Linked DNA regions of Arabidopsis thaliana. The protein of the gene in region 2 interacts with the protein of the main gene of each other region in a pairwise test. Each region holds a gene or a part of one and is shown on either strand. Other genes may lie near its edges.

Region 1 (15,970 bases), 2.7 Mb from region 2:
CCTAACGAACGTGATTGGTGGTCTGTCTCCTTGTTAAATTTTTTGTTTGTAGTTGAGAAAATCACAGAGCTTCTCGGTTAGTTCTAAACCGGAAAACCCCAGAAAGAAATTGTATTATTACGTAAATACCCTTAGAAGAATTGTGAAAAAATTGGTGGGAAACTTTTCAATAATATTTTTGTTTCCATCTTGTAGCTGCCTCTTTCCATCACCGGTGCATATAGAAACAGAGAAACAAATATTTAAAATTTTACATCTACAAAGAGACGACAACTCTCCTGTGTAACAATGTAAGAAGAGCGTTTTCATGGGTTGTTGTTATTTCTTCTAATGTTGTAGTGACTAGTTGTTGTAATCATAACGAAAAACAAACGTAAGAAGTACACTGCCGTAGCCGTACCATGTAAGTTCCATTACAAGCTTCCATAGATTTTCAAACCTCATTAACAAAACATGTATCTGAATTTTCATATCAAATTAAGAAGAGAAACAATTAAATTACAAGAAGAGACACACGATCTTTGAATTGGTTCCGAGAAGAGAAAGAAAACGAGGAAGAAGAAGAAAAAGCGTGTGATGCGCAGGTTAGCTTAATCACAGTAATGTGCACATTCACGCTATTCAGAAGGTGACGCCGATCCAAACGACCCACTTCTTCTGCGTCTTCTCTCTCTTCACCTCTCTGTCTCGCCTTTCTCTCTCTAAAAGAAAAAAATTTCTTACCCAGAACAAATAAAATTTGCCGAAATTTTCAGTCTTTCGATTTAAAACAATTCCTTGACAACATTTCTTCCGGTTTTATCATCCAAATCATAAGAAAGGACGCATTTTTATTTATAAAAATTGGGTCTTTTTTAATCTCTTCTGGAATTTTAAGAGAGAGAGATATAGAGCGAGAGAAGTTAGGAACAGATCTCTTTCTCTTTCTCTTTCACTTTCTCTTTCGCTCATTCGTGCCAAAAGTCTCTTCTTCCATCAAATTTTGTAGCTTTCCTTGTTTGATAGAACGGGTACGCGATTTTCAGTTCTGGGTCAGAGGAATACGGAGGACTTCTCCTCTCCGGAGCATCAGAAATTGAGGTCTAGATTAGGGTTTGTGAGAAAATTCGAGATTTTGGTTGTTGATTCTTAATTGGAACAGTGATGCTCTGAGATTGCTTTTCTGAAATTTGAAGAAGAATGATTATCAAACGGAAATTTAAAACCCAGATACCGAGTTTGGAACGGTGCAAACTCGGTAATGAGTCAAGGAAGAAGAAGAGAAAGTTGAACTTGGGAGGAGGTGGTTACTACTATCCTCTCAATCTTCTCGGAGAAATCGCCGCCGGGATTGTTCCAGGTAATGGACGCAATGGATTCTCTGCTTCCTGGTGCACTGAAGTTACAAAACCTGTTGAGGTGGAAGAGTCATTGTCTAAGAGAAGATCTGATTCCGGTACTGTTAGAGATTCTCCTCCGGCGGAAGTCTCACGTCCACCGCTTGTTCGGACATCTAGGGGAAGAATTCAGGTGCTTCCTTCTCGATTCAATGATTCGGTGCTTGATAATTGGAGGAAGGATAGTAAAAGTGATTGTGATTTGGAGGAAGAAGAAATAGAATGCAGGAATGAGAAAGTTGTTAGTTTTCGGGTTCCTAAAGCTACTAATTTGAAAAGCAAGGAACTTGATAGGAAGAGTAAGTATAGTGCATTGTGTAAAGAAGAAAGGTTTCACGAGCAACATAATGATGAGGCTCGTGCTCGTGTTGATGAGAAGCTTCCGAATAAAAAGGGTACTTTTGGGCCAGAGAACTTCTATTCAGGTGACTTGGTTTGGGCAAAGTCTGGGAGAAATGAGCCGTTTTGGCCGGCTATTGTTATCGATCCAATGACACAAGCACCCGAGCTTGTTTTGCGTTCTTGTATACCCGATGCAGCCTGTGTTGTGTTCTTTGGTCACTCTGGGAACGAGAATGAAAGGGTACGAAGAGACTAATGGCTTTCCAAATATGGAATCTGGCCTTCTTTTAAGTATTCTATTTCTGACTGTTGTTTAATGTAAGCAGGACTATGCATGGGTGAGGAGAGGGATGATCTTCCCTTTTGTGGACTATGTTGCCAGGTGGGTCTCTTTATATAATCAAAAGAAAAGGTCTTAAATGTGGATTAGTGCTTAATTAGCTACTTATTCAGGTTCCAGGAACAGCCTGAACTGCAAGGGTGCAAGCCTGGGAATTTTCAGATGGCATTGGAGGAAGCATTTTTGGCAGATCAGGGATTCACGGAGAAGTTGATGCATGATATTCACTTGGCTGCTGGGAACTCGACTTTTGACGATTCTTTCTACAGATGGATTCAAGAAACTGCGGTCTCAAATCAGGAGCTCAATAACAATGCTCCAAGACAGGCAAGTGTCTCTATGATTTTGGTCCATTTTTATATGACTTTTTTTTCTTATATCTTTTTATGTAAATCTCCTCCAATTTGGGTAATATATCTAATTAACATTATGCTTTGTAGGGGCTGTTAAAGAAACACAGAAATCCACTAGCATGTGCAGGATGTGAAACAGTCATTTCTTTTGAGATGGCAAAAAAAATGAAAGATCTGATTCCTGGAGATCAATTGTTGTGTAAACCATGTTCAAGGGTATGTAGGATCCCTTGTTCTGTGATTATTCTTAGTTTAGTTTGAAGTGATGCAGAAACGGTTGCATACGTGTAAGCCTATTTTGTTGTTGTTGCAGTTAACAAAATCAAAACACATTTGTGGTATATGCAAGAAGATAAGGAATCATTTGGACAATAAAAGCTGGGTACGAAAGTAAAAACATTAGGTTCTATAGTGGTATAGCTTAAGGTTTTGGTTGTTTTCTATTTTGACTTTTTGATATCCGTGTGGCATATTAGGTGCGCTGTGATGGTTGTAAAGTCCGGATACACGCAGAATGTGACCAAATATCAGATAGGCATTTGAAGGTATGTTAATTTTGGATTTCATCAAGGTTACCCTATTATCATCGGCTTGTGTGTGTTGAGATCGAGCTCATTTTATGATCTGAAGGATTTGCGGGAAACAGATTACTACTGTCCTACTTGCAGAGCAAAATTTAACTTTGACCTATCAGATTCAGAAAAACAAAACTCAAAGTCAAAGTAGGCCTCTTCGTCTTAACTTTTATTATTGTTTTCTCAACGGCTTCCTTTTGATTGCCAAATGTCTAAATTTGGGAGTTTTCTGGTACAGAGTTGCGAAAGGCGATGGTCAGATGGTTCTTCCTGACAAGGTTATTGTTGTATGCGCTGGAGTAGAAGGAGTTTATTTCCCGAGGCTCCATTTGTAAGCAGATACCAATTTACATTTCCCCAACTTCTCGCGCTGGGTTTTCTTCTAAAACTAATTCAAAGCAAGATGATATTGAGATTTACCTTACCTAGATTTTCATGTTTCTTTGCTGAAAACTTTCCAGAGTCTTCTTACTCCATCTTGTTATTTACAGAGTGGTATGTAAATGTGGCTCCTGTGGACCTAAAAAGAAAGCCCTTAGCGAATGGGAAAGGCATACCGGATCAAAGTCAAAAAATTGGAAGACCAGTGTGAAAGTCAAAAGCTCGAAGCTGGCACTAGAAGATTGGGTTTGTACAATTACTCTTCTGGTTTCTTTCAGAGATATTGGCGTCTTTCTTTTGAGTTTGATCTGACTTACTCAAAAGGAAACTGACATATATACCTGCCCTACCATTCACTTACTCTGCAGATGATGAACTTAGCAGAGTTACATGCAAATGCTACTGCAGCTAAAGTTCCTAAACGACCTTCCATAAAGCAGAGAAAGCAGAGATTGCTTGCTTTTCTATCAGGTAGAAAAGGAAATGGAATCCTGTAACATGTTGCAGTGTTTTGAGTGTTTTTGTGATGCTTTTGTTGGCTTTTCCTTTCGTTGTTGGCAGAGACATATGAGCCGGTCAATGCGAAGTGGACAACAGAACGATGTGCAGTTTGCAGATGGGTTGAAGATTGGGACTACAACAAGATTATTATCTGCAACAGGTGCTTTTTAATCTTTTTTTGCTCTAGTTTTTTTTCTTAAAACCATGATTTCATCTACCTAAATAATGGGACTTGCCGTTAGACTTATATTTTTGTGCCCAATCTTTGGCTCACGTGGAGTGTGTAAGATAGGGTTTTCTTGCTAGTTTATGTGGATAAGATATTTGAGCCAGAGAGCTTTCCATTTTAACTATCATGTCATGTCCTTTGGCAAACAGAAGATAGTTGTTTTCTGTGGATCACTTTATGGCGACTTGTGAAGTATCATCCATTATCATTGTTTCATAAGCAACTTAGATAAATGTTTCTTTCATTTTCTTGTCAGATGCCAAATAGCAGTGCATCAGGAATGCTATGGCGCTAGACATGTTCGTGATTTCACCTCATGGGTCTGTAAAGCATGCGAGAGACCAGATATCAAGCGGGAGTGTTGCCTCTGCCCTGTAAAAGGTGGCTTTATAAAGTATATTCAGCTTTTTCACATAAACATATGGCACCACTGCCTATTAACTATATCCATTGGCTCCGCTATGTTGTCACTGATGATAGGAGGTGCATTGAAGCCAACTGATGTGGAAACGTTGTGGGTTCATGTGACATGTGCTTGGTTTCAGCCTGAAGTATGTTTTGCAAGTGAGGAAAAAATGGAACCTGCAGTTGGGATTTTGAGTATTCCATCAACTAATTTTGTGAAGGTAAATTTAATATTAACTTATTGTCTTTAATTTTGGACCTTTCCATAACTGTCTGCGACCAAAGCTAAATTGCATGAAATCTTCTTCGTTTTGATGGATTTCAGATATGTGTAATATGCAAACAAATACATGGCTCGTGTACTCAGTGTTGCAAGTGTTCTACATACTATCATGCCATGTGTGCCTCCCGAGCTGGTTATAGAATGGAGGTATGCTTACTGTTTGACTGTTTCTGATCTTTCTTCATGAGATCAGACGACACTGACTTTTTCTATACATGCTTTTGAACTAACTGGAACGATCTTTTTTATATAGTCGTATAAAGTGAAACTGGTTTCCGATAGATAATGTGTTTTTAATCTTTACTTAAAGGAACTTGAGTTTTTTTTTTCCTTTGCAATTTATTATCTTACTCCATTTAAATAGGCATATTTCCATGCATTTTGTATGTAGTTGCACTGCTTGGAGAAAAATGGTCAGCAGATAACAAAGATGGTGTCCTATTGTGCTTATCACAGGTGAAATTTCTCAGAACTCTGCTTAAAGAATTTTTGGTGTTACGATGTTGGTTTATGATTTATAAGTTTTATCTATTGTTTTTGGTGTGTAGGGCTCCCAACCCAGATAACGTGTTAATTATACAAACTCCTTCAGGAGCCTTCTCTGCAAAGAGTCTTGTCCAAAACAAGAAGAAAGGTGGTTCCAGGCTTATTTCATTAATCAGAGAAGACGATGAAGCACCTGCAGAGAATACCATTACATGTGATCCATTTTCTGCTGCTCGTTGTCGAGTATTTAAAAGAAAGATCAATAGCAAGAAGGTAATATTGGGTCTTATCCACAAAAAGTCTGTATGTTTCGTTGCACATCTCCTTTGTCCAGTAGGCTGATCTTTGTTTTGTAGAGGATTGAAGAAGAAGCCATTCCTCACCACACAAGGGGACCACGCCATCATGCATCAGCAGCAATCCAAACTTTAAACACATTCAGAGTAAGAAAGTCTCCATGCAGTTCTTCTACTCCGTTTCTTACTATTATTTTTTGGATCTGACATTTCTGGGTTGTATTATGTGTAGCATGTGCCAGAAGAACCCAAATCGTTTTCTTCTTTCAGGGAACGACTTCACCACTTGCAGGCAAGAATTCTCTGATGTTTGAACGAGATTGGAATGTTCAGGTTTTATTTTTTGATATTATCGGCTGTAACATGTGTATGTTTAATGTAACAGAGGACAGAAATGGATCGGGTCTGCTTTGGGCGATCTGGAATTCATGGATGGGGTCTTTTTGCAAGAAGAAATATCCAAGAAGGAGAAATGGTATGTCAGCAGACCCATTTGTGATATTGTGTTTGGTCTATTTGGGATGAGGGGAGTGTTTATTGTCGAGAGGTGCTATTGTATTTCAGGTTCTTGAATACAGAGGGGAACAGGTGAGAGGTAGCATTGCAGACTTGAGAGAAGCACGTTATCGCAGAGTAGGAAAGGATTGCTATGTGAGTTGAAAAAGTTTCCATTTTATCTTCACAAATTGTCTCTTCTCTCTCTATCTCTCTTAACCAAAAGAAGGATTTATGTTGCAGCTTTTCAAGATCAGTGAAGAAGTAGTGGTTGATGCTACAGATAAAGGGAATATAGCTCGGCTCATCAATCATTCGGTAAGCTGCTTGGCATGGACTTTTTACGTACAAGAAATTTGACAGACTGTTAAAGCCTAAATCAAAATACGTGGTGTGTAGTGTACACCAAACTGCTATGCGAGGATTATGAGTGTAGGAGATGAGGAAAGCAGGATTGTCCTGATAGCCAAGGCCAATGTAGCTGTGGGAGAGGAGTTAACGTACACAACGCATTTCTATATATACCATTCTTCAATCTAAAGCTGATTGATTGTCATAGTTTAAGAAATGTTGTGTGGTGTTTTGGCAGGTATGATTACTTATTTGATCCAGACGAGGCAGAGGAACTCAAGGTGCCATGCTTATGTAAAGCCCCTAACTGCAGGAAATTCATGAATTAGAATAGAAAGGTATAGATCCTCTAAGTTTACTTCACAGGCTACAACACCAAGAAGAAAAGGCCAAAGCAAGATTGTCTCTTTTTGCTCCAAAAACAATAGATTTATAGGTAGAGAGAAAAGCTAAGTGATCCAAGTCTGATCTCTTCTGCCTCTCTGTATAGACAAACTCGTTTGTGTCACCATTATCCTCAAAAGAATTCAATTTCATTCATTTTGTTCATTTCAACGAGACTTGAGCAGAAAACTTGGGATAATTCCAACTGTTGTGACCGTTTTACCCTATAACCATCGGTTTACTACGGTTATACCGCGAAGGTGATGAGTCAATTCAATTGGGAATTGATTTTCCTTTCGCGCCGGTTTATGAATCGTGCTTTCGTCAAGTGCCATGTCAGACGAATTGTAGTTTGCTGCTGATAAAAGATCTCGTAATGGTTTTCTTAAAACACTTTTAAGCGTTTTTGACGGCCCAATTGATGCGAATATGGATTGACTCTTATCTATACTTCAGATATGTTCAAAGCCACACAAGGTAAATTGCATAACGGATAACAATTCCCATAAGAAAAAATGTTTCGGTGTCAAACTGTATATGAGCAATTCTGAAACATTCTAAAGATTTTGTGGTTATGTGTTAAACTTAAAGCATTTGATAGAGAGATATTTTTCAAAGAAATAGGAAAAAATAATGTTACAATCCTCCACATTAATGTTTACAATCCGTCCATCTGTACTTGACATGTCGGATCATAATCCAAGATAATGGGAATACAGATATAAGTTAAAAATGAATTCACTCATAGAAACTTGGAAGGCTATATTCGTCAATATAAAAGAGCATCCTTTAAATAGCTGCACACTGGTACAGTGGTTCTACTATTGAGTGAAAAAAAAAAAAAACTAAAGGCACGAATAATTTTTGTCTAATCAAAATTATTTAAATTGCTGCTATTTAAGATAACGATGAACGGTGACGAAACAAAGAAGGTGGAGAGCGAGTACATCAAGAAACACCATAGACACGAGCTTGTAGAGTCTCAATGTAGCTCTACGCTCGTTAAGCACATCAAAGCTCCTCTGCATCTCGTAAGCTTTGCTTTGCTCTGTTTTTCAAGTGTTAAAGATAACGATTTTTGAGATGTTAAATGATTTGTTTTGTTTGGAAAAGGTGTGGTCAATTGTGAGGAGATTCGATGAACCACAAAAATACAAACCATTTATCAGTAGGTGTGTGGTACAAGGTAAGAAGCTGGAGGTTGGTAGCGTAAGAGAAGTGGATTTGAAATCTGGATTACCAGCTACTAAAAGCACTGAGGTATTAGAGATTCTTGACGACAATGAGCATATTCTCGGCATCAGAATAGTTGGTGGTGATCATAGACTCAAGGTAAATTGAAATTTCCTTAAATGTACCATTCATTCCGACAAGATTATTGTTTTTTTTAGAGCTTAATTTGTTATTTGTCCAATCAGAATTATTCTTCAACCATTTCGTTACATTCGGAGACGATAGACGGAAAAACAGGGACATTGGCTATAGAATCGTTCGTGGTGGATGTGCCGGAAGGTAACACAAAGGAGGAGACATGCTTCTTCGTGGAGGCTTTGATTCAATGCAATCTCAATTCTTTAGCAGATGTTACCGAGCGTCTACAAGCAGAATCTATGGAGAAGAAGATATGAGATGTGACTTGAGAATCTTTTCATTCGGAAAAGAAGGAAAAAGACCAAAGAAGAGAAATAACTCTTCCCTTTTATAGCAATGTCTATGTTTTTTCTTCTTCTATTTCCATTTTCTGAATGTTTGTATATTATTGGAAGTTTGTAACGAAATGATTTCGAATAGCTGTCAAACGAGAAATATAAATTCAAATTTGTAAGTGTTTATATGAAATGCTTTTTTATTTTTAACATTTCCACATGAAAATATAAATAACATATCATGACACATGCAAAATCATATTTATGAAAGTTTTTTCAACTCTCTCCATTTTTTCGACATATCAGCATTAGATAGAGTGACACTTATCACATCAACATATGAATTACATTTCTTATTTAATTTAATGTATTTAAGAATTTATAATCATGCATTAATTCTTTCTAAATTTTTTGACATGTTTGAACTTATTAATTAAATAATTTCAATTTAATTAGGTACAAAGTATATCAAACTCACATAAATAACTTATTTAAATTAAATTATATAAATCGTATAAACTTATGTATAAACATAAAATTAATAGAATTTTAATGAACTTTTAGATTTGATTAAAGTATAAAAATTAAATAATATGATATAAGAATTTATTTCATGTTTTCATATACTAATATATATATATATATATATATATATAAAAGATTAATAACAATTGATATTAGTTAAATTTACGGTTTAGTTTAAGGTAAACCCAAGATGCTCTCATCTGGAATTCTGTTATGATCTGTACGTCCTCAAAGTTCCAGAGATGTTGAGAAAGATCAAACATCAGCAGCGTCAGAGGCTTTTTCTCTGGAGAGGTGATGTTGAATGGCTCTATGCGCTGCTCGGAGAGCAAAAGAGTCTTGAAGAAGACTCTAGCAAATCCATATTGGCATCTAAGCTTGATCTTTGTGTTCCTGTTATGAAACACAGAATCTAGACTGAGACTGAAGTTGGATACCTCAGCTTTGGGATGGAGAATACCGGAACTCTTGGCCGGAGTAAGAGGATGGAAAGCATGCTGAAGATGAGCAAGAGCGTTCCAAGAAAGACTATGACGAAGAAAACAAATCAGAAATATACTAAGTATGAGTTGTTTCAAAGAACGTAGTAATGGTTTATAATAATATTAACAATAGAATAAAATAAATAGTAATGGTTTAAGAAAATATTAATAATAGTGAGCAAAAGCTAAGCAAAATATAAGCAAAACATAATAACATAGTCAAAATAATATGGAAATGACAAGTATATAAATTATATGTTAAAAGTTAAGAAATTGACTTGGAGGTTTGTGTTGGGATTTTCCCTTAACTTAAATAAAGGTTTTAAATGTGAACAAAAAAAGTTTGAAGTTTTAGTTGGGAAAATGTTTTGATTTGGAGGTTTGTTTTGGAATTTTTTCACTTACCTAAAAAGATTTTGGTTATTATTAACATAAAATTCTACTAATAACAATTGATATGCTTCTTCGTGTTAAAAACAAAAAAAAAACAATTGATATGCTTCTTCTTTTTTTGTGCACCCAATAAATATGAATTAAATAAGCATTTTTAATAGATTTATCTCTTGATAGGGTATCCATCTAAACAAATACAAAAAAGAATACATTTAACCAAAATGCTTATCTAATGTATATTTAAATGTAAAACTTTATTGTATTTGTTAATTTAGCAAAAGATAAAATGTCTAATTGCTAAATCATATTTACAAAATATAATATCTGTTAATTAAATCATGATTCAGTTGTTTGGGCTGTTAATTTTGTTTTAATCCGTCTTTGGGCTTGACCCTTCTGTATTTGCCTATTGGGCTTTATGAATGTTATGAATGAAAATGAATAGTCACAAAACAAAAGAAAAAAAACAGAATTTGAGTCGGTACACAACTGTTAACGAGGTGTACTTGGTGGAATCATAGACACGTGTCTTGACACTCTTAAGGCCTCTTCACCACCAAATTACTTCCCTAACAAAAGAATTATTATTATTGTGAAGCCCCAAAAGATCGAACATTCTAATTCAATGGCCTACTTGCTGACCAAGCAAAAAGGACCGGCTCCGTTTTCACCTAATTCCGAGCTTCACAACGTGCCTTCCATTGGTTGAATATTCAACTGGTTTAACCAAACCGAAGTTACACATACGATTTGAGTCGGTACACAAATATTACGAGACGTACTTTGTGGACAGTTTGACACGTGTATCGCCACTCTTTATCCCTCTTCACCAGTCACCACTCACCACCAACTTAAAAATAAAATAAAAAGAGCATATATTGTGGAGCCCCTTACATGATCGAAAATTCTCGTTCAAAAGCATTCGTTAAGACCGTGTGTTGTGTGTCGTTTTTTGTCGACGAAAATTAGACCGGCTCTGTTTTTATTGGCTCGTTTCGATTGAAAGCGTGGCTATAATTGGTTTAACCAAACCGAAGTCGACGTCTCGGTTTGTTCGGTTAAGATTAAGCCTTGTAGAACATTCCAAAACGCCGCGTCAAAGCTTTTAGGGTTTGATTCTGCTGTGTGGCTACCCACTCAAGTCTCCAGTGTTCCTTTGTGGCTCTGGTTTGCCCTATTCTTCTCTTCCCCCTCTCTCTCTCTCTCTCTCTCTTGTTTTCTTTTTCCCTCTTCTCCAAGGAATCTGGAAAAAATTAAACCTTTTTTCTAAATCCCTGGAAATCAGAAAACTTCCTATTGAGAAACCATAGATTCGATCCAAGCCTTTGATTGTATCAAAATCTCTGCTTCACCAAGAATTTGGGTTGATACAGAAGAAAAAAGTTAAATGGTTGAGGCAGAGCGCGCGGAGAATAGTTGGATTGCTTCGGAAACGTCTCCGTCGTCGTCTCCGGTGGTAATAGAAAGCAGTGATTTTTCGATAACTGATGGAATGAGAGATGTGAGCGGATTTGGTATAGCTTCTCGACCTCAGTTGGACAAGGGTTTGTCGGAAAACAATATAGGGTTCACGGAAAGAGTTTTCTCTGCCGCCGGAGCTGCGGTTTTGTCCGCCGTTACTCTAAATCCTCTTGACGTTGTCAAGGTAGGAGCTTTCTATTGTTGTCTTGATTCATCTGGGAAATTATATCTTCTTACCGGCGAAGATCTAATGTTTCTGTTGTGATTTTGTTTATCAGACTCGATTGCAAGCTCAAGCCGCCGGAATGTCGTACTCTCACCCACTCAGTAACTCCATTGGACGCATGGCATTTTTTGGCCCAAACATGGTATTGTCTCTGAAATTTTTATTTTGTATGAGTGTTGTTTTAAAGGTGAATACTTTCTACATTTTCACTACTCAGTTATGTAATCAATACGGTTTCGGTTCAGATGTTTGCAGACTTGAGATGTTCTCCTTCATGTGCACGCGCTGGTGTTGAAGGTACTGTTTCTATTTGCCCACCGGATTGTTTCCAGTACAAAGGAACATTTGATGTCTTCACCAAGATCATACGACAGGTGAGCATCTCTTTTCATCTTGTTGAATGTCTCGCAGTGTTAAGAAGATGATGATAAGTAGTTGTTTGAGAGGTTTTGTTTTTTGTATGTGGCATGCTTTTTAGCTAGAAGCTTACTATTTCTCTATATCCTAACGCAAGAACTGATGCAGGAGGGTCTGGGACGCCTTTGGAGAGGGACTAATGCTGGTCTTGCCCTAGCTGTGCCCATGGTATGCTCTTTTGCTTACATTTACGGGATTCTTTTGTTTGGATAGACTATGGATTAGTAAACTCTCAAGTTTTGCACAGGTTGGGATATATCTCCCATTCTATGATATGTTCCGCAACCGGTTGGAAGAATTATCTCGGGAGAAAGCTCCTGCTATGACATTTTGTGTGCCTACTGTGGCAGGGTCTTTAGCGCGGTCCTTAGCTTGTACAGTCTGCTATCCTATTGATCTTGCAAGAACGCGTATGCAGGTATTGGCTTGTACTTCTTCTGCGTGTGGTATTCTTGTAACTCTAGATGAGTGTTATGCTTTTCAACGAGATCTTTCTTTATGGGTAGTACTCTTTCTGTGACTCGCTATTCATATTGTATTTACTGTTTTCTCTAAGTAGGCATTCAAAGAAGCAAAAGCCGGTGTGAAGCCTCCGGGAGTTTTTAAAACTCTAGTTGGTGTTTTCTCTGAAGTCAGGACAGCAAATAACCTTGAAAGTAGCTGTAAGTTGCTTCTTCCTTCTTCTCAAGCAACAGAAGTGACTATTAATATCCCGAATTTGTAACTCTCCAACGCATGTATAATCAAGTAGAGCATACCACTTAATTAGCAATCACAACCCAAGATGCATGCGTGTGGACATTGACACCAAGAGCCAAGGTTTTCTTTTATTTAGTCTTTGATATACATCTTTCTTGGGACAGTGCACAACTATCGTGGTCTCTGGAGAGGCTTGGGTGCACAGCTTGCCCGTGATGTTCCATTCTCAGCAATCTGCTGGTCGACCCTCGAGCCAGTAAGATCTTTAACATGTTTAAGCGTTTTACGATGCAGAAGGTTTATTTTAAGGCAGTTTTGCCAAATACAGTAAGTGAATTGCTTTGACCTTCCCTTATGATACAGATAAAAAAGAGGCTCCTTGGAGTTGCGGGCAATGATACAAATCTTGTTGGTGTTTTCGGTGCAACCTTTTCTGCTGGATTTATAGCTGGAAGTATCGCTGCTGCTGCTACTTGTCCTCTTGACGTTGCAAGAACAAGAAGACAGATAGAGGTTTGTTTGCTTTCCTCCAGAAACATGTTTGTTTACTTGTGTCACCATCTCATGTTTCTCCCTTCCATTAATTCAGAAGGACCCTGGTAGGGCATTGATGATGACGACACGACAGACACTAATAGAGGTTTGGAGGTATGTATATGCATATTTGAAAGATTCCATTTTTCATTTGTTAAAAGCTCTATGTTTGTTTTGAAACAAAACATAACAAGAAATACTTGCACACACAGGGATGGAGGGATGAGAGGACTGTTCATGGGAATGGGTCCACGAGTGGCACGTGCAGGACCATCGGTAGGGATAGTGGTTTCCTTCTACGAAGTGGTCAAGTATGTTCTGCATCGCCATGCTTCATCATGACCCTGCAAAGTCACTAATCTCCTAAACATGGATCTGTGGATACGGCTTTAGGTTGTAGCTTCTTTTTTCAAGTTAACAGAATAAGTTAAACAGGCTCAATGCTCCAGAAACCCGAGTTTCCTCTGTTTATGAGCCTTAATTTTGTCCAGTTATTAAATACCGGCTGTTTTTAATGTTTAATCCGGTTTATGTCGGCCCGATCGTACTTCAACATAGGTTGTCTTCTCAACTTAGATTCTTATCATCAAAAAGTATCCATGAGAGCCTTCTCAAATATGAAAAGCAAAACGCACTATTACGATTTCCTTAATTGTAACCTGAGGAGGCGACGATGTGTAAAACGCCATTCATATTGTCCCGCTTTAGTGATGAATTATAAGTCTTCGTTTGTCGAAAATTAACGAATGTTTTTCCACGTAAAAATTGTTGACGATGGCATTGACTTTTCTCCGACACTGACCTATTTTGTATTTTCTAATAGATTTCTTCGACCTTTCTATTATTAGTCCTTTCAGATATCAACCGACAAACACTTAATAAAGAAAAGGTTTTGTCAACGTTAAAATAGGAGACTTCTAATACCTTTGATGCATAAAACTAGAACATGATTAAAGAGTTAGAACATAGTTGAGACAAAAAGAAGTAGGAAAAAAAATAGTAACACATCTCAAACAGTAACAACATTTTAACTAATTAATAATGATGTTCTAATTTTAAAATTTTGGCAGCGACCTACAATGCTGCAAACCACTGAGGATTCGATAAATATTTACGCACTACCATAGTGAAGACATTTCTGAATTTGATTTTTTTTTATATTGTCATCTGACAACAATTACTATGTTGGATAAGAGCAAGGAAAAAATATGTAATCTTGCATCTAAAGTTTGTATAACCAAACAAAACACTAAGCTTTAGTATTTCAAACCTTTTTATGCCACTTTGTAAATGAATATTACTTTCTCAGAATTGAGAAACACCTCCAATGTAATTATCTGTTATAGTTTACAAAGAAAAGTTATTATAGAGTCCTCTTGCATACATGTCTACGAAAGGTAAAATTCTTTTTCTATATATACTTCAGTACTCAATAATTTTCAAAATGACTATGGTTTCATTAATCATAACCTTGAAGAAGTCTTTTAGTCCACATTTTCTCCAGAAGAAAGGGACTTGTAGATGTCTATTTTAACAATTTCTTATTGTGTGTACACATAAATCATATATTTAAAACCAAATATATATATATATATGGATTTGACTCCAATATGATTTCAATGAAACCAATCGGGCAAATAGACGGTAGAAGACGAAATCCAGACGACCAATGAAAACGTTAAGCTTTCTGTTTGTTTGTGTATATATTAACTATTTGGTAAAAAAGAAAAACATAAACAAACCACAAATGTGGTCACCAACAAATATGTGTGTATGAATTCAAAACATCGTAATTATAATGGTACAAGTCAACATGTGGAGAGGCGCTTATTTCTTACACTAGTGCAACATTTCGTACTCATTCAACTCCTTACCTAGTAAGTTGTATTATAATTCTCTCATATGAGTTGGGACATAATTATTTCTACCTTTTGCTTCTCCCTTCTGATGTTCGGCATTGGTTATGCTTTTTTTTTTTGGTGGGAGGCATTTGTTATGATTTGGTTGTTAGGAATGTACATTAAAAAAAAAATCTATTGGATTTAATATCTTAAGCACATGAATAATTTATTTACCGTAAACCTTTCTCCTATTTAAATATTTTGATACTATCTCTAAATTGATCCAGCCCTGTACTTATTATTTATATATACACTTTCATCGAAAATTAATCTTCAAGAACGCGGGAAAATATTTTAGCAGTTATGAAAATATTGAAGTTCAGAACACTATCTTTTAAGATTTAAACAAAATTCAATTGTTGAATGAAACCGAAATTTTGAAGTTACGGGCAAATATTTCGTATCTATAAATGGAAGCTATTCTAGTTGGGAGTTCATTGCATTTGAACATTATTCTACATTCACTTAAGGAAATATTACCCTTTTTTGTCTATAAGAAAAAAAGTTATAAGGAAAACCAGAAAGTGACGAATTATTCAAATTGTAATTGATTGAGAATCAGTGTCAACATTAATTTTAAGAAAAATCAAATCTAGTAACAATATATTTTAGTCAAAGTTTAATTCTTAGAAATTTCATATCTGAAAAGGATAGTTTCCAAATTCCAAATTAGTAGTATTATTTACCGCCAGAGTCAGAACACAAAACCCACTTTTGTTTAATAGAGAAAGGCAAAAAGTGCACCGACTGACCCAAAAGCCACTTGCTCCACCGGTCACTACCGTGATTTGCGCCTCCTCGTGTGGTCTCTCTCGCCAAAGAGAATTTTAGTTTCGCTTTTTATAATCAAAACTCGTTTACAAAAAACTTAAACACGTTCGTGCAACTC
Region 2 (16,211 bases):
CTTCCAAGAAGAGAGAATATAAATGGGAAAAAATGAAATTTCATTCACTCATGAGACATGAGCAGATTTCGTTTTTTTACAGGGAAAATGTAAAGTAAACTAACAGAAGACACAACACACTAGTACCTTGAATCAAGAACATGTTTCTCCCGAAACAGAACATGAACTTGACAAAGGAGAACACATTCAGAGGAACCAAACTCTATTGGAACCTACAAAACATAAAAAAAAAAAAAAACATTGTTCCTAAATAGAAGAAAGATCTTCGTAAATGGTCTTAATACCAGGTCTCTCAGAAACTGATCTTATACACCTCAAAGCAATCCCAAGAACTTCTTTCATGCCTTTTTCTGTTACCGGATCACTTCCCATCTCCTGAGTCAATACCGAATCAAAGCATTCTGCACCACGCCCTTCTGCAACACGTAACCTAACCCAATCGGTTAGATCAACACCTTCTTGCTCACCTGTGATTACATCTCCTGCACATCTTCCGGTTAGGATCTCAAGAAGTATCACACCAAACGCATATACATCTGATTTGAAAGAAGGTAATGGTTTTCTTGAAGCTGCTAGCTCGGGAGCTCGGTAACCGAGGATTCCTGCGTCTAGAATCTGTTCGACTGTGCCTGCTTGTGTCATGAGACGGTGGAGGCAGTAATCTGCCACACGCGCGTTTAGCTCTGCTCCATCTAAGAGAATGTTTGTTGCCTTGAGGTTACCGTGTGGAACAGCTCTGTCGAAATGGAGGTAGTTTAGACCACGTGCCACATCAACTGCGATTTTCAACCGTTGGGTCCAGGCTAAGGGAGGGCCTTTCCTGCCCGGTCGATCTGTCATCAAACAAGAACCGTAAGCTTGATGAAAAATACTGCACATACATATAATACTTAGAGAAGTTTATTGAAAGGAGCATTACCGTAAAGGAAGCTGGCAAGGCTTCCAGGCGATATATAATCTGAAAGAATAAGCTTCTCGTGTTGCGTTGGACCCCAATAGTACCCTCGGAGAGTCACAACATTAGGATGTCTAATGTTAGAAAATTTCTTCACCTCTTTAGCAAACTCCTTTCTCTGCTTTGCCACTCCTTCTCTTAGCCATTTCACTGTTAGAAACACTCCATTATCCAGCGTTGCCCTGTAAGAAGTGCCGTGGCTACTTCTTCCCAGAACTTCAGCTGGTGCCCTTGATAATTCCTCTGGAGTCAACTTAATTGAATCATCCAGAAAATGCAGCTCTCCCACAAGTCTATCTGGTGACCTCACATCAAGCCGTGCTAGTTGCTGATCAGCTGGGAATGAATCTCCTGAGCCAGGTGACCAAGACAAATTGCTGGTCTTAGAAGGAGAGAAGCCGGTTGCAACAGCTAGTTTTTCATCTGGACTGAGGATTTCGGATGATGAGCCTTTTCTTGAAGCAACCAGATCCTCAGCAGAGACAACCATACCACCTCCGCTGCCTGAGGGGATAGTTTGAGCCCGCCTATTAGTTTCTTTACCAGTAATACTACGTTCTTCGCGCCTTCTTGATTTGCAGATGCAGAAAAGGAGGATAGCCACAAGGATGAGAATAATTAGAGCAACAGCGCAAGAAACTATTATGACAACCTTAACAAGTTTGTTCGTGGATTTATTCTTGGAAGCTTCTGATGCACTTGATCCAGGGGACCCAGCAGGCAAGACGAGCTTGCTGTTTCCAGGATAAAAGGAAGGCGGAGGGAAGTTCTTCAGATTCTCTGGCACAGTCCCTGATAGATCATTATATGACACGTTGAAGGCCATAATGTTGCTAGATAAGTTGCTTGGGAGTGGTCCAGTGAAATGATTCTGGGATACGTCTAATGAGCTTAGAGAGACAATGTCATTCATGGAGCTAGGCAAAGAGCCAGACAAATTATTTGCTGCGAGATTCAGCACTTGAAGATTGGTTAAAGACCCGAATACACCAGGAAGATCCCCGTCAAACCGGTTGTGAGAAAGATCAAGAAGACGGATTCTGGAACCAGAAGAAGGCAGGGGTCCGATGTTACCTGTCATGCCATTGTTTTGAAGGTGGATTTCCTCCAAAGTGGGCATGGATAGTAACGCACCTGGAATTGGCCCTTCTAAGCTGTTAGAACTTATATCAAGTACCCGAAGCTTCGGATAGTGAGTTGGAATCCGTTCTGGAAGTGAGCCTGTGAGCTTATTGTAGGAAAGATTAAGATGATTTGCTCGCAGAAGCTGGGGAGTTGCGTCTGGGAACGACCCAGTGAAATGGTTCTGGCTTAGATCAAGGTACTCTATATTCTCCCATTTTGACCATCTTGTCAGATTTCCTTCAAACTGGTTGTTTGAGAGATCGAGTAAAACACATCCCCCAGTCAAGAGAGGAAGCTCCCCGGTCAGTGAATTTGAAGAAAGATCAAGGGTGTGAAGAGTAGTTGACATGATAGAACTTACTGGCCCTGAAACACAAAAGGAAAACCAATAAAAAAATATTAGATTTCTAGTTTTCTTGGTGCCACCGTTAACATATAACAATTTCCACTATGTAGAAGATAAAGCCAAGAGCATACCTGAGAGATTGTTGCCACTTAAATCCAGCGTTGTTAAAAGCAAAGAGTCACCTTTTAACAAATTATTGGGAAGGGAACCTGAGAATCTGTTGTTGCTAAGCTTGAGAACTTCAAGATCATAGACATAATTGAAACCTGGTAATTCTCCAGATAACATGTTGTAGCTAAGATCCAAGACTTTTAAGTTCTGAAACAACTGAAACCCACTAGTCAATGAACCTTCAAGCTGATTATGGCTGAGATTCAAGTGCTTGATACTCTCAGAAACACCAGGTAACAGTTTCCCAGACGTCGTCACCAATCTGTTTCCACTGATATCGACATAGCTCGCATTCGTTAAAAGGAAAAACTCCCCATCAAGATTACCATCAATTGAATTACCATGCAAATCAAGCACTTCAAGACTTGAAATCAACTCAAAGCCCCTTGGCATTTTCCCCGTGAATCCATTAGAAGACAGATTCAAGTACAGCAGATCGTTCAGCCTTGTCAAGGACTTTGGCAAAGGTCCAGATAAGGAGTTGCTACTCATATCCAACGACTGAAGTGAAATCAAACCACCCATAGACTCTGGAATCTCACCAGAAAAGTTGTTACCAGATAAAGAAAGATTCCTCAAGCTTACTGATCTACCAATCTCTTTAGGCAATGAAGAAGAGAACAGATTATCTGATAAATCCAGGAACTGGAGGCTTTTGAAACTGCCTAAATCATTTGGCAACACACCAGAAAGGGAATTGTTTGACATAGATAGCTTGACAAGCTTTGTCAAGTTGGAGAACAGACTGAAATCAGCATCAGCAGTCAAACCCAAATTATCCAAAACAACACCAGCCACATTACCGCCATTGCAGACAATACCATTCCATGAAGAAGGACAACCATTGAAGTCAATAGACTCATCGTTCCATGAATTAAGGACAAACCCTGTAGGGTCATGTTTGATGCCTTTCTTGAATTCAAGCAATGCCATGATGTCCTGTGATGGAAGTTGCCCCATTGCAGATAGAAAAAACATGGAGAGTAACAAAATCCTAGAAAGATTCATCCTTCCTTGACTTCAAATCTTTTCCCCCAAAAAGCTACAGTTTTTGAAGAATCCCAACAACTTTTCCAGCTCACCAACGCAGAAAATTCATGGAACCCCAAGTAAATCTGACATAAAACATAATGAAATAAGACAAAACCCATCAATGTTACCAAAAAAAAGTTTAAATCTTTCTGCAAAAATCAACAATACCAGAAATTTCACTCTGATAAAAAAAAAAACAGAAGCTAAAGAAAGAAACTTTACCTAAGATGAACAAATCTTCTGAGAAACCCCAATCAAACAAAATGCAGTAATGCTACTGAGTGAGAAGAGACAATCTTCACTCAAAGGGAATCAGCTGAAAAAAACATTAAATGAACAAATGGGCTATTCAATATTTGGGTCCCATTCCGAGATCTAACCTAACTCCAAAGCAAAGAGATAAATGAAAAGTGAGGATTTTTAAACTTACGGGGATGAAAAAAGCTTCTCACTGCAAGAACAATGTCGACAGAGTTGAAGAAGAAGGAAGACAAAAACTTTAAAGCAGAATCATTTTGTTCATTAGCTCATGAACTGCACGGGGTTTTGGATTAAGCTCAACAGTGTTGTAGACTGAGTCACTGAGCTAACTGAGGGAAATCTTTGTGGGTCACTTTAAAAATTAAAAACCCTTAAAAGATTGTCACTGTTTAAGAACAAAAGAAAGAAGCCAAAACAAAATTAAAGATAGAGAAAATGTTTTGCTAGTTTTCACGTTCGACAGTGACGAACGACAAGGACCTTGTAAAAGGGTAAGTCTTGAAGCGTGTGAACGGACACCAAATCAAAAACCCTAAATAAAAAGTAAAATAGCAAGAAATTATTTTCATGGGTTCACGAGAAGAAAATTATATATTAATTTACTTTTTCATAGTCTTTTCAGTGAGGAAAGATTTAAAATATAGTTTAATTACCCGCCTGGAATGGCCCGGGAAAGGAATCCAAAAAAAATGAAAAAAGCTACTTACACTAATGTTTTTAGTGAGTGTGACCATGGTGGACGTGAAAGGGTTTATCCAATATGGTTATGAGTCTATGTCCTTGCCTTTAGTGAGAGAGATTTACAGCATTGGGAAAATAAGCGAAAATTGCGCAGTGTTCTAATAAATTTTGGTAGAAACTTGCAATAAATGAATTTACATAAATAAATAATAGGGAAAATAAAAAGAGTAATGAGAGTTCGGAGTGAATGTTATTTACACCAAAATACAGATATTAAAAGCTTGCAAGGAAAATGTGTAGTAAATGAAACATGATTTTTTGAACAATCCAGAAAAAATAGTAATGAATATTCGGACAAATAAATATTTTTGAAGTTGATACCACATTAATTAGTAGGAAAATGTAGAAGCGAAATAAATACCGCGTAGGAAAATGGGTCCCACATGCTGACTACGTTGACTAGGGAAGACCGGAAGAGACAAGGGCATCAGACCAATTATTTGGGTTCTACTGATAATGTTGAAAGTAAATGTCCGGGTTCAGAATAAATTAATAGTTAAGGGGTCATAATTCAAAAAACAAAAATCTGAGTGTTTTGATGAGATTACACACTTACGTCTAAAACTCACTCTCATTTGCTAATTGTTAACTTGCTCTGAGTTTGAAGAAATTCATCAATGGCGATTCGCAGAGCGCAAACTCTACTTTGTCTTTCTAAATTCAAAACCAATTTCGTGTCTGGGTCGCTCCACCGGTTCTCTTCTTCGTCTCAAAATTCAAATCAATTCCAGGTTCTGCTTTTTAAATTGTCTTCATGATCAGAAAACATAATCTCTTTTCCTCATAAGTCACCTAGAATTTTATTGAAACGTTCTAAAACATGATCCTTAAGGTAGTTGGAATAAAAGATCTTAACTTTTGTAATCTCGAGCATAGTTAATAAGAATTTTAGTGGCCAAATTGCTTATTGATCTTGACCACTTATCTAAATTCATCAGTTCTGCAAAAAAAGTTGTCTGGATTAGATTTTTAACAGCAAAATTTGTCTGATTCAGTACCCAAAATTTATGTAAATGAAGTCTCATTTTTGCTGTTTTGTCAGAATGTTGGTTTCATAGGACTTGGAAATATGGGATTCAGAATGGTGAATAATCTAATTAGAGCTGGATATAAAGTTACCGTTCATGACATGTAATGTACTTTGAGTGCGTTTTGCTGCCTATCAATTTTCATATTTGGTTAATGTTGATTCCTTTGATTAACTTTCTTGTGCATATACTTGTGTTTGAATTTTCAGAAACCGTGATGTTATGAAAATGTTCACTGAAATGGGAGTCTCTTCTAGAGAAACTCCTTATGAAGTTGCACAAGATAGCGAAGTTGTGATTACAATGTTGCCTTCATCATCTCATGTAAGTTATTTACCTTTAGCAATAGTTTTATATGAAAACAGTTTGAAAGATCGTCCTGTTAGCTGTATGATTAGCTGCACCTAGTCTACGAGATAGTATTGTTGTTTACTCCTGGTACTGAAAGAATGTTAATCTTCAATTGATTGGATGATTTTTATGAAGGAAAAAAAATTGTGATTGATGTAGGTGATGGATGTGTACACAGGAACAAATGGGTTGCTTCTTGGAGAAAATGATATAAGACCTGCTTTGTTTATAGATTCATCCACTATTGATCCACAAACAACTCGAAAAATCTCACTTGCTGTTTCTAATTGTAATTTGAAAGAAAAGAGAGGTAAAGCTTAGATAGGATTTGGAAGGAAGTTAGTTTCTTCTTATGAGTTAACAACAGCTTCATTTTGTTCTTCTTGTGAACAAGTCGAGATTGTTTCATTTTCACTAGTTTCAAGCATCTTTGATGTAGATAATTGGGAAAAGCCAGTCATGTTGGATGCTCCCGTCTCTGGAGGTGTTCTTGCTGCAGAAGCTGGTACACTTACTTTCATGGTATGTTGACGACTCTCTTATCTTCTACATTATTTGAATCACATCCTTTATATAACATCAAGTTTGAAGATTATGTGTGCTTGTATACCTACAAGAGCACAATGGCATTGATACAACTGCACGTTCTGTAGGTTGGAGGTCCCGAAGATGCTTACTTAGCCGCTAGACCAATACTTCAGTCAATGGGCAGAACCTCCATCTACTGTGGTGGTTCAGGAAATGGATCTGTAAGTTCGCTTTATACCATGTTTCCGTAACTCTGTTACAGTATCTCTATTATCTTGATCTTTGGTATATTTGTCTCTACAATTCTTAAGGATAATAGACTGAGAAACGACATGTTTTGTTTTAAACTTAGGCCGCAAAGATTTGTAACAATCTGGCAATGGCCGTGAGTATGCTCGGCACTTCAGAAGCCTTAGCTCTTGGTCAGTCACTTGGAATATCTGCCAGTACTTTAACAGAAGTCTTAAACACATCTAGTGGCCGTTGTTGGAGCAGGTAAGTAAATGAAATGACCTCTTCAAATTTATAATCGTCTTCTCATCAAGAGCAAGCACACCAAATTCTTAACTTCCTTTCCTTATATTATGATAACCGCAGTGACGCATACAATCCAGTTCCAGGAGTGATGAAAGGTGTGCCATCTTCAAGGGATTACAATGGCGGTTTCGCCTCCAAACTTATGGTCAGTTTCTTAAGAAATCTCTATATCATTGATCCTGTAAAATGTCTCTAAAGCACATTTCTTTTGTTACACAAGTCTTTCATGTATATAGTGTATTGGAAATGCAGGCTAAAGACCTAAACCTCGCAGCAGCCTCAGCTGAAGAAGTTGGACACAAAAGCCCATTGATATCCAAAGCACAAGAAATGTGAGTACTTCAGTAGTCTTTTCTCCTAGAAGCTCTATTCCTTATGAGTTGTTGTGAACAAAGAAGGCTTGTGAATGAAACTTTATGGAAACAACGTAGAAATTTCTTATGAAGCAAAAAGCACACACATCAAGCTGAAGATTTTGTTTTTTTGTTTTTGCAGTTACAAGAAGATGTGCGAGGAAGGACATGAAACGAAGGACTTCTCTTGTGTTTTCAGACACTTTTACAATGGGAAAGATGAGGTCTGAGACAATCTTAACAACGACCCTGCAAAATAACCGGTTTCTTTGTGCATTTAGATTGTTGATTTTCATTGCTAAGAATAATAAAAGTCTTGGAAAGGCTGTGATGTTAATAAGCGATGTGAATTGTAATTAGTTTGAGAACATCTCTCTGGTGTTGAACATTACTCTTGGAATCACCAATCAATTAGTTATGAGGTCAGCGAAGAATAAAGCATGAAGGATCCTATAGAGAGGATTAAACAAAGCTCAGAGTCAAAGTTCTAAACTTTTCTTTTACCCGGAAAAAAGTCAACAACAATTCAAACAATAGTCACCTATGGTGTAATTACATTTCTTAACAGTGTTACTCGCTAACCAATCCGTAAATATACCATTTTCCTTATCTATATTCGTATTTAATTTGATTATTAATCATTCTTGGCTATTTACCTAAAGTTAATGAAGATTCACCTTCGTCACCAATGAGAGAACCAAACCATTTTTGCAGAATCTCCGGTACAATTACGGAAACAGTTGTTTGTGTTAATATCTACAATGTGAAATGACTACAACCACCCTCGCTTTCTTCAGCACACCGCTACATTTGAAATCTCCCAACTTTTTTCATTCTCTCTGTTGCTCAAACTAGTTTCCCTCAACACTCAAAGGTACGTCTTTGATCCTTCTTCTTGTGTTTCGCTTCGTTACTTATGGGTTCTTTCTGAAATTCGACTTCATCACACCATCATTTCTGTTTATGACAATTCGTTCCTCGTAATGTTACTTCAACCTCTACCTGTTTTTCTGCTTCATTCGCGCGAAAAATCGTTGCTTTTGACTCATGTTCCTCTGTTTCATCTTACTGTTGTCTGTCTTAAAACCTGAAGTCTCCGAATTTAGGTCATCATCTTGTATCTCTTTCAAAAACCCTAGTTTTTTGGGGTTCTGTGCAGTGAGCAGCCGTACAGTTTGCACTGAAGTTACCATCTTTCATGATCTTTGAAGTATCTATATGAATCATAGATAGTTCTTTTGTTTGTCTCAGTGTAGAAAGAAGCCTCAGTGAGTTTGTAATGGCGGGTGAGGAGAAGCAGACTCTTACTCCAAAGGAGATGATACTTCAGAAGTTTGGTGTTAAAGCAATTTACAGAATTGAGGAAGTTCATGTTTCTTCGAATGATTGCCTCTATCGTTGCCACTTGCAGCTACCAGAATTTTCTGTTGTATCAAATGTCTTCAAGAGAAAAAAGGATTCCGAACAATCTGCTGCTGAATTGGCTCTCGAGAAGGTATACTTTTGACACATCTCTCTGCTCTTATTGTTTAGTAGACTTCTTAACACTGTTTATGTGAAAAAGTACAATACTATTCATGTTGCAGCTAGGAATTCAGTCTCAGGATGATGATGATGTTGATATAACTGTGGATGAAGCTTGGAATAATATCGTTGAACGCATTAAGTATATATTTTCTGATGAGGTTAGTACAGGTCATAAGCAAGTCCATAGTCCAAAAGTTAATTTGGTTTTTCTCTCTATTGGCATTAACGTTTAAGTTGTTGCCATTGCAGTTTCTTTCAGTTGATCATCCTCTAGGAGGTCACCTAAGGGCGGCATTGCAAAGGGATGGCGAACGTTGCGGATCACTTCCTGTTTCTGTCATTGCTACATTTGATGCAAAGATTAACAGTCGCTGTAAAGTGATTGATCCTTCTGTAGAATCAGATCCTATCTTGCTCATGTCCTATGTCATGAAGGCTGCTGCAAAGTTGCCGGACTACATTGTTGTATCTCCGCATGTCGATTCACTCCGAAGGAAAAAACCGTATCCTCCAGCAACTATTAAAGCACTGGCTACTACTCATGTGAAAAGCATAAAAGCTGAGGCTGTGCATTTACAATGTACCGTTGGCGGTGAAGAGGTTGTTAAGCCAGTCACTCTTGATATTTCATCAGGTCGGTATTACTTGGATATTATTGCTGACAAGCTTGGATTGAAGGATGGCAGCCAAGTGATGATATCAAGGTGAGTATTTTGTCTTCTCTGTCAATAAATGGAGCTTTCTCAGTTTTAATCTTACTAAAGCTAATTTTGGATTTTCATCAGGACTATTGGCAAAACTTCCTCTGGCTATGAGTGTAGAGTATATGCTGCCATTCCTAAGTTGAAGTCTTCCGATAATTCATGGAAAGCCCGTGAAAAACGTCCAATCATTGAATCATCACATCTTGAAAAGTCTCGGAATGCAAAAGCAAGTTTTGTTTGTGGTGTAGATATTCACGGTGATGCGATCGTGGCATCTGTTGGTTACCCATGGAGGTCCCATGATCTTGAACATGATGGTGTAACCTTAAAGTCGTTTTACAAGTCTCTTACCTCTACCAACTTTTGCTCCGTTTTATGTTTTGTTTTTCCTTTGTATATCTTTTGGTCTAGTGCTGAAGCACTAAATATCTCACCAGTTTTTTGGCCTCTGTAGGATATGTTGCGGTATTTCTCCTAATGGAATCTATAAATTATCCCGAGAAGCGATAATAGCGGCGCAGTTACCTTTTTCATTCACTACAAAGTCTACTTGGAGAGGTCCATTCCCCAGGGAGATTCTCTGCATGTTCTGCCGCCAGCAACAACTGGTAGAGCCCATTTTTACTATATCTACTGCTCCTGTGAAACCAATGTCTTGCATATTAAGATCCTACCAGAAGTTGAAAGACTCAGAATGTGATGAGAAAGATTCAGAATGTGATGAGAAAGACTCAGAATGTGATGATAGCGAATATCAGTATACGAGCAAGGGAAAAGAGGAGATACCAGAATCAGGGACTGGATATAGATGTGAAGTGAAAATTCTCTCAAAGTCCCAGGATTTGGTTTTAGATTGCTCGTCCAGAAAGTTCTATGAGAAGGAAAACCATGCTATTCAAAATGCTTCGTTGAATGCCCTCTCATGGTTAAGTAGGCTTTTCGACGAGGGGGATGGGGACCCACTGCAAATATGTTATACGGATGATCACCTGGATGCGGTATTTCAACAGAGGATCTTGATGAAAGAGGCTGTTCCAAAGGGACATTTCCGAAATAGAGACGAAATGAATCAATATGAGGATCAAGTTCGTATTCAAACCATAACAAAGGGTTCCTTGGTTAGCATATGCTATTCTGTGTATTTGGATGTAGATGCTGATTTTTCAAAGGATGGTAAATCTAAAAAAGAACTCATCGAAAGCAATGAAGAGATAGAGTTTGAGGTGGGGAATGGTTCTATGAATCCACATCTTGAAGCAGTTGTTACTCAACTGGTTGTGGGCCAATATGCTCGTTTTTTAACTAATGCGCCTGCTGAAGACTTGTTTGTGACTGCTGCCACTGGTACCCAGAGAGATCGTTCACTTTTATCAGGTAATGCTTCTAATTTGTATATGAAATTCTTAACATTTGTGGTTAGAAAAGGAAAAAACTCGATGACATTTGTTTATTACAAATGCAACCGGCTAGCCTTTACCAGCGGACTTAGGACTAAAATTCACTATCTAGTTGAATCTAGAATTTAGTTACTTTGTTGCAAACTCTTCTGTTGCAATTGGTCCTATGAGTTTAATGAGTTCTGTACTATTTTGGTGAAGGCAGCATCACTCTTAAAATTTATTTGTTGTTTTGGTTCTTATGAAGTGTTTCTGTGCTTTTTCAAAGGTTTTCTGCTTTGAACAGCGCATGAACAAGTAACAAACATATACCTCTGACTAATATAAGAGATTTGCAGCCAAGCTACGGTAGTTCTGATGATGAGTTGCTTTGGTTTTAATGCACAGATGTCGCAGGTTTTGAATACTGTGTACGTTTGTTGGGAGTGAAAGGGCCAACAGAAAAACGAATTGAGGCGGATTTTTTCAAACCTTCACTTTCAAAACAGCGTCTTGAATATGTAGTGAAACATATTAAAGAATCGTCAGCTTCTACTCTGGTAGGCTCTTTGTGTTTCTTAATTAATCATTTTGTCTTTCTGCTTATTGTGATTCCAAGTTCTTTCTGGGAATTTTTTGTTAATACTTCAGCCTCTATACTTGTTGCAGGTTGATTTTGGATGTGGATCTGGAAGTTTACTAGCATCTATACTTGACTGTCCAACTTCACTTCAAACCATTGCTGGCGTTGACATCTCACATAAGAGTCTTACCCGTGCTGCTAAGGTATGTGAAATCTGACACCACTTTGTTATATTCCACTTGTAGACTTAACCTGATGAGAGTCATGCATCTTAAAAACTTGATATATGTTTGATCAAAACTGCATTTACACAAGTCATAGGTCGTGTAACATGTTTCTCCAACGTGGTTGTATTTTATTATCATTGGAAAGAGATGGTTGATTGAAGATTGTTGGTTTACATTGATATTTTTGCATGTTATAATTTCAGATTGCTACATTCAAAAATAAACAAGGGAGCTTGCAACCTCAAATCTACTTTACTCCATGATGGTTCCATCCTTGAGTTTGATTCCAGGCTGCATGACATTGACATCGGCACTTGCTTAGAGGTTCGATTCTATTTTCTTGCTTCATTTCTTCATCAGCAGCTTCTCTAATATTCAATATAATCCGTTTTGAATCTTTAGGTCATTGAACACATGGAGGAGGATCAAGCCAGTCAATTCGGGAAAACAGTTCTAAGCTTGTTTCGCCCGAAACTTCTGATTGTCTCCACACCAAACATCGAGTACAACACAAATTTCCATAAGTCTGGTCCTCCAAACCACCCAAAAAACAGATCCATGTCTTCACAGCTACCAAAATTCAGGAACCAAGACCACAAGTTTGAATGGACAAGGAAACAGTTTAAGCAGTGGGCATCTAAACTCGCTAAACGCCACAACTACAGCGTCTATTTTAGCGGTGTTGGTGGGTCTGGTAAAGGAGACCCCGGGTTTGCTTCTCAAATTGTTGTTTTTAGACGGATATCTTTGTCCAACATAGTGGAGAAGGTCTCAGAAGGCTCGATGCAGCCTTATAAAATCATATGGAAATGGTCAAAGAGGAAATGGAGAGAAAAAGACTAATCTTTGATAAGTTATTACTTGTCCTAGTTCTACTATATTATTTGGAAAGTACATTTTAAATGTAACCTTAATTTTTGTAATTAATTACATGACAATGCCATTAGAAAAATTTAATCAAAAACAAAAATCTTTAATGACGTCATTAAGATTACCAAAATCATTTAACAACAATATTCATCTCTTAATTATAAGGTTTATTGGATCTAAAGACGGGTCATCAAAGATTTCCTAAACTGAAGCAAAATACACTAAATATTCAAATATCTATCTGTTACCAAATTATAAACAAATAAGTTCGTAAAACAATTTAATATTTTATATACGAAATCAATTAAATCTTAATCACATAAAAATTAGCACAAAAAAAGTATTCAACAATTAAACAATTATCAAATCTCTGTGTTATATAAGTTTTGATACTATATTCGAATAAAGTGTAATATATCTTTTCAATTTGTATTCTTTAACTAATTTAAGCTACCTAATATATTTGCTAATCTTATACCTATCAAAACCGACTATCGTTTCTTATCTCTACAGTATTTTTGCAAGACTTTTTTAGTGGATTTGGATAAAAGTGCATTCGGGTCATATGGTACATTCTCCTATTAAATAAATATGGTGCACTCCTATGTTATTAGCTAAAATATTCAGATTATAATTCAGAGTCATATCATAAATAAAATTAATATTAATAAAATAAATGGCTTTTTGGCAAGACGGATTTGGAGAGACGGGTTTTTGAATCAACATTAATAAAAAAATAAAATATAATTAATCCACTGTTTGAATACGGGTTAAATCTTTAATTTATTATTTTTTAAGACCACTAATATTAAACATATCAAATCATCCTAATTTAGAAAAGATTATATAAAACCAAAAATGTTATGTGGTATGTATAATGTTACTATATATAAAATTAAACTATAAAATATAAATGTGTTAGAGAATGATACAATTTGCAAAACTTTTATATATAATAAATAATTCTTAAATTTTAAAAATTATTACTTTAAAAAAATATTACGGGACGGGTAAAGGAATTACAGAACGGGTTTTATTTTGGAATTGGGTTATATGGTGGATGTATTTGAATCAATATTTATAAAATTTTAAAATATTATTAATATGCTGTTTTACAAGGGGTTAAACTTCAGTTTTTTAACAATTGTCTCATGGATTCGTGGTATAGCGTTACTTAATAACAATTATAAACTGTAAAATATAAATATTTTATAAAAATAAAATTTGCAAGTTTTAATAGATATTACTTTAAAAAAATAAATCATCCCGCGGTATACCGCGGGTTAAAATCTAGTTCTGTTTAAAATCTCCATGTTTCTTCCTTAATCACACTTTTACTTTTGGTCATATGATATGACTCATATTTTAGTGTTATGCATTCATTACATGACATGGTTTTCTTCAAATTTTGGCTACAAAGCACAAGAAATGTGAGAATACCAAACATTAAGGTTATGATTCGTAACATTGCATAATAGCATAACGGTATAAGTTGCATAATAAAATATGTAGAATGAAAAACCGTAGAATCAAATTACTTAAAAATATATGTTGATTGGATACATTTTACAGAACGACAAATAAAATATTATATCAACAATATATATTTATACTAATAAAACTGTTTTTAATAAATTTTAAGTAATATTTGATAATAAAAATATAAGATTCTTAAAATCTATTAAAGAGTTGTGAAAATGCTGATTAGAGATTTTGAAATGAAGTAAGTAAAGATATGGTTAGTTATTTGGTTGTTCGGATTTTTAGGGAATATTATTTCGTGTAATATTGAATTAGTAGAGATTCAAGGGATTAATGTGTGCAATTTATGAGGGTAGTGCAAAATAATATTTTTGTTTAGGTAAGTAATTAGTGCAAAACGTGAATAATTGATCAAAAATTTGGTCATTGTCATAAAGAAGACAATCTTGTCTGATTGATTTTGTAGGGACTAAACATACAATATCGAAATTGAAAAATGATTTTTCGACACAAATCTTCCCCAAAAATGTATATGTAGATTATTAATAACATAATTTTTGTGTAAATAATTATAGTTTTTTATTGTTTAAAATTGTTAGTATTTAAGATGCGTAAAATAATAACAATTTCTTATGCGAATAAAAACTATATACCCATTTTTTGCATAATGAATTTTTACTTGTAAATTTAAACAAAAATACAAATTGTGCGTTTTTACGTTTTCTTATACAATTATGCAAATTTTCTTAATATGAGAATTTTTTTACATAATTACATTAAAAAACGCCTTACCAATCAGAGCCTTAAACCTATAATAACTTCACACGTAAATGGTATTTATTTTCTTCTAGAAAAAGAGAATGGTGGATAGGGGAATAAAATAAAAAGTTGGAAAAAGAAACGATTCTACAACATGTAATGACCAAAACACCCTCCTTCCTCCCTCTAAAACCCCATTCTCTCTCTCCCACTCTCTTTTTCTCTGTTGCTCTCTCCTGAGTTCTTCTTACATGAAAGTCCGCTGAACTCTTTAGGTTCGTTGTCGATTATTCTTGCTTTATGTTTGTGTATTTATTTTTTGAACTTCTGGGCTCTTTCTGAAATTCAATTTCATTGACCCATCTTCTCTGTTCATGACAATTCGTTTGTCCTAATGTTACACTCAAAACCCTTTTTTGTTGTTTATACCCAAACCCTCTATCTATCTGTACTTCCTTGGAACGAAATTTTTTTGCTTTGACTCAATTTCTTTCTTAGAATTAGAACATTGAGAATGTTGGAACTCAAATAGATGTTGGTTCGATTTTGAACTTTTTGTTTATTTATTAATGTTTTCTATGGCTCTGATTTGAATTGTCAAGTTTAAGACATTCTTCTTCTTCTCTTAGATACCCTAATTTCAGGGGTATGCACATTTTGCATAAAAGTTCCAATCTTTCCTGATCGTTGACAATATTTATGTGTACCCTTTTGTTTGTCTCAGTGTGTTAAAGAAGCTACATTGTGTTTGTGATGGCCGGTGGTGGGAAGCATACTCCTACTCCAAAGGCGATTATACATCAGAAGTTTGGTGCTAAAGCAAGCTATACAGTTGAGGAAGTTCATGACTCTTCTCAGAGTGGTTGTCTAGGATTAGCAATTCCTCAAAAAGGTCCATGTCTCTATCGTTGCCACTTGCAGCTACCTGAATTTTCTGTTGTGTCAAATGTCTTCAAGAAGAAGAAGGATTCTGAACAATCTGCTGCTGAATTGGCTCTTGACAAGGTATGCTTTGTTGTTTATTATATATATATATATATCTTATGTAATTTATTCTCTCTTATGTTAACGAAGGCAAGACTATTCATGTTGCAGCTAGGCATTCGCCCTCAGAATGATGATCTTACTGTGGATGAAGCTAGGGATGAAATTGTTGGACGCATTAAGTATATATTTTCTGATGAGGTTAGTTGATGAAAAGAAAATTTTGGTTTCTATTATTTTGTAGCTGTAACGACATCCTCGTTAAACATAT

What was found.
Region 1: the proteins of AT4G20930 (region 2) and PYL10 interact in binary tests that used the Arabidopsis thaliana proteins (3 or more experiments, as listed by UniProt).

What each region holds. Positions count from the first base shown.
Region 1 is NC_003075.7:13,893,515-13,909,484, forward strand, and holds PYL10 (PYR1-like 10), read left to right. Parts: upstream 1-7,627; 5' UTR 7,628-7,705; coding exon 7,706-7,828; intron 7,829-7,910; coding exon 7,911-8,129; intron 8,130-8,215; coding exon 8,216-8,425; 3' UTR 8,426-8,486; downstream 8,487-15,970. Other genes in the region: SDG16 (SET domain protein 16), read left to right, coding at 1,180-1,959, 2,045-2,100, 2,172-2,385, 2,499-2,627, 2,725-2,793, 2,888-2,956, 3,042-3,133, 3,225-3,317 and 15 more; MTM1 (manganese tracking factor for mitochondrial SOD2), read left to right, coding at 11,231-11,488, 11,583-11,672, 11,776-11,904, 12,056-12,115, 12,195-12,365, 12,507-12,609, 12,811-12,902, 13,010-13,159 and 2 more. UniProt on the Arabidopsis thaliana protein: Receptor for abscisic acid (ABA) required for ABA-mediated responses such as stomatal closure and germination inhibition.
Region 2 is NC_003075.7:11,190,074-11,206,284, reverse strand, and holds AT4G20930 (6-phosphogluconate dehydrogenase family protein), read left to right. Parts: upstream 1-5,178; 5' UTR 5,179-5,248; coding exon 5,249-5,362; intron 5,363-5,673; coding exon 5,674-5,762; intron 5,763-5,868; coding exon 5,869-5,983; intron 5,984-6,169; coding exon 6,170-6,320; intron 6,321-6,449; coding exon 6,450-6,532; intron 6,533-6,663; coding exon 6,664-6,759; intron 6,760-6,890; coding exon 6,891-7,033; intron 7,034-7,135; coding exon 7,136-7,220; intron 7,221-7,327; coding exon 7,328-7,407; intron 7,408-7,570; coding exon 7,571-7,658; 3' UTR 7,659-8,034; downstream 8,035-16,211. Other genes in the region: GHR1 (Leucine-rich receptor-like protein kinase family protein), read right to left, coding at 247-833, 920-2,446, 2,558-3,557; AT4G20920 (double-stranded RNA-binding domain (DsRBD)-containing protein), read left to right, coding at 8,708-8,923, 9,015-9,113, 9,205-9,659, 9,741-10,001, 10,114-11,033, 11,444-11,595, 11,705-11,821, 12,049-12,108; HEN1 (double-stranded RNA binding protein-related / DsRBD protein-like protein), read left to right, coding at 15,710-15,961, 16,052-16,141.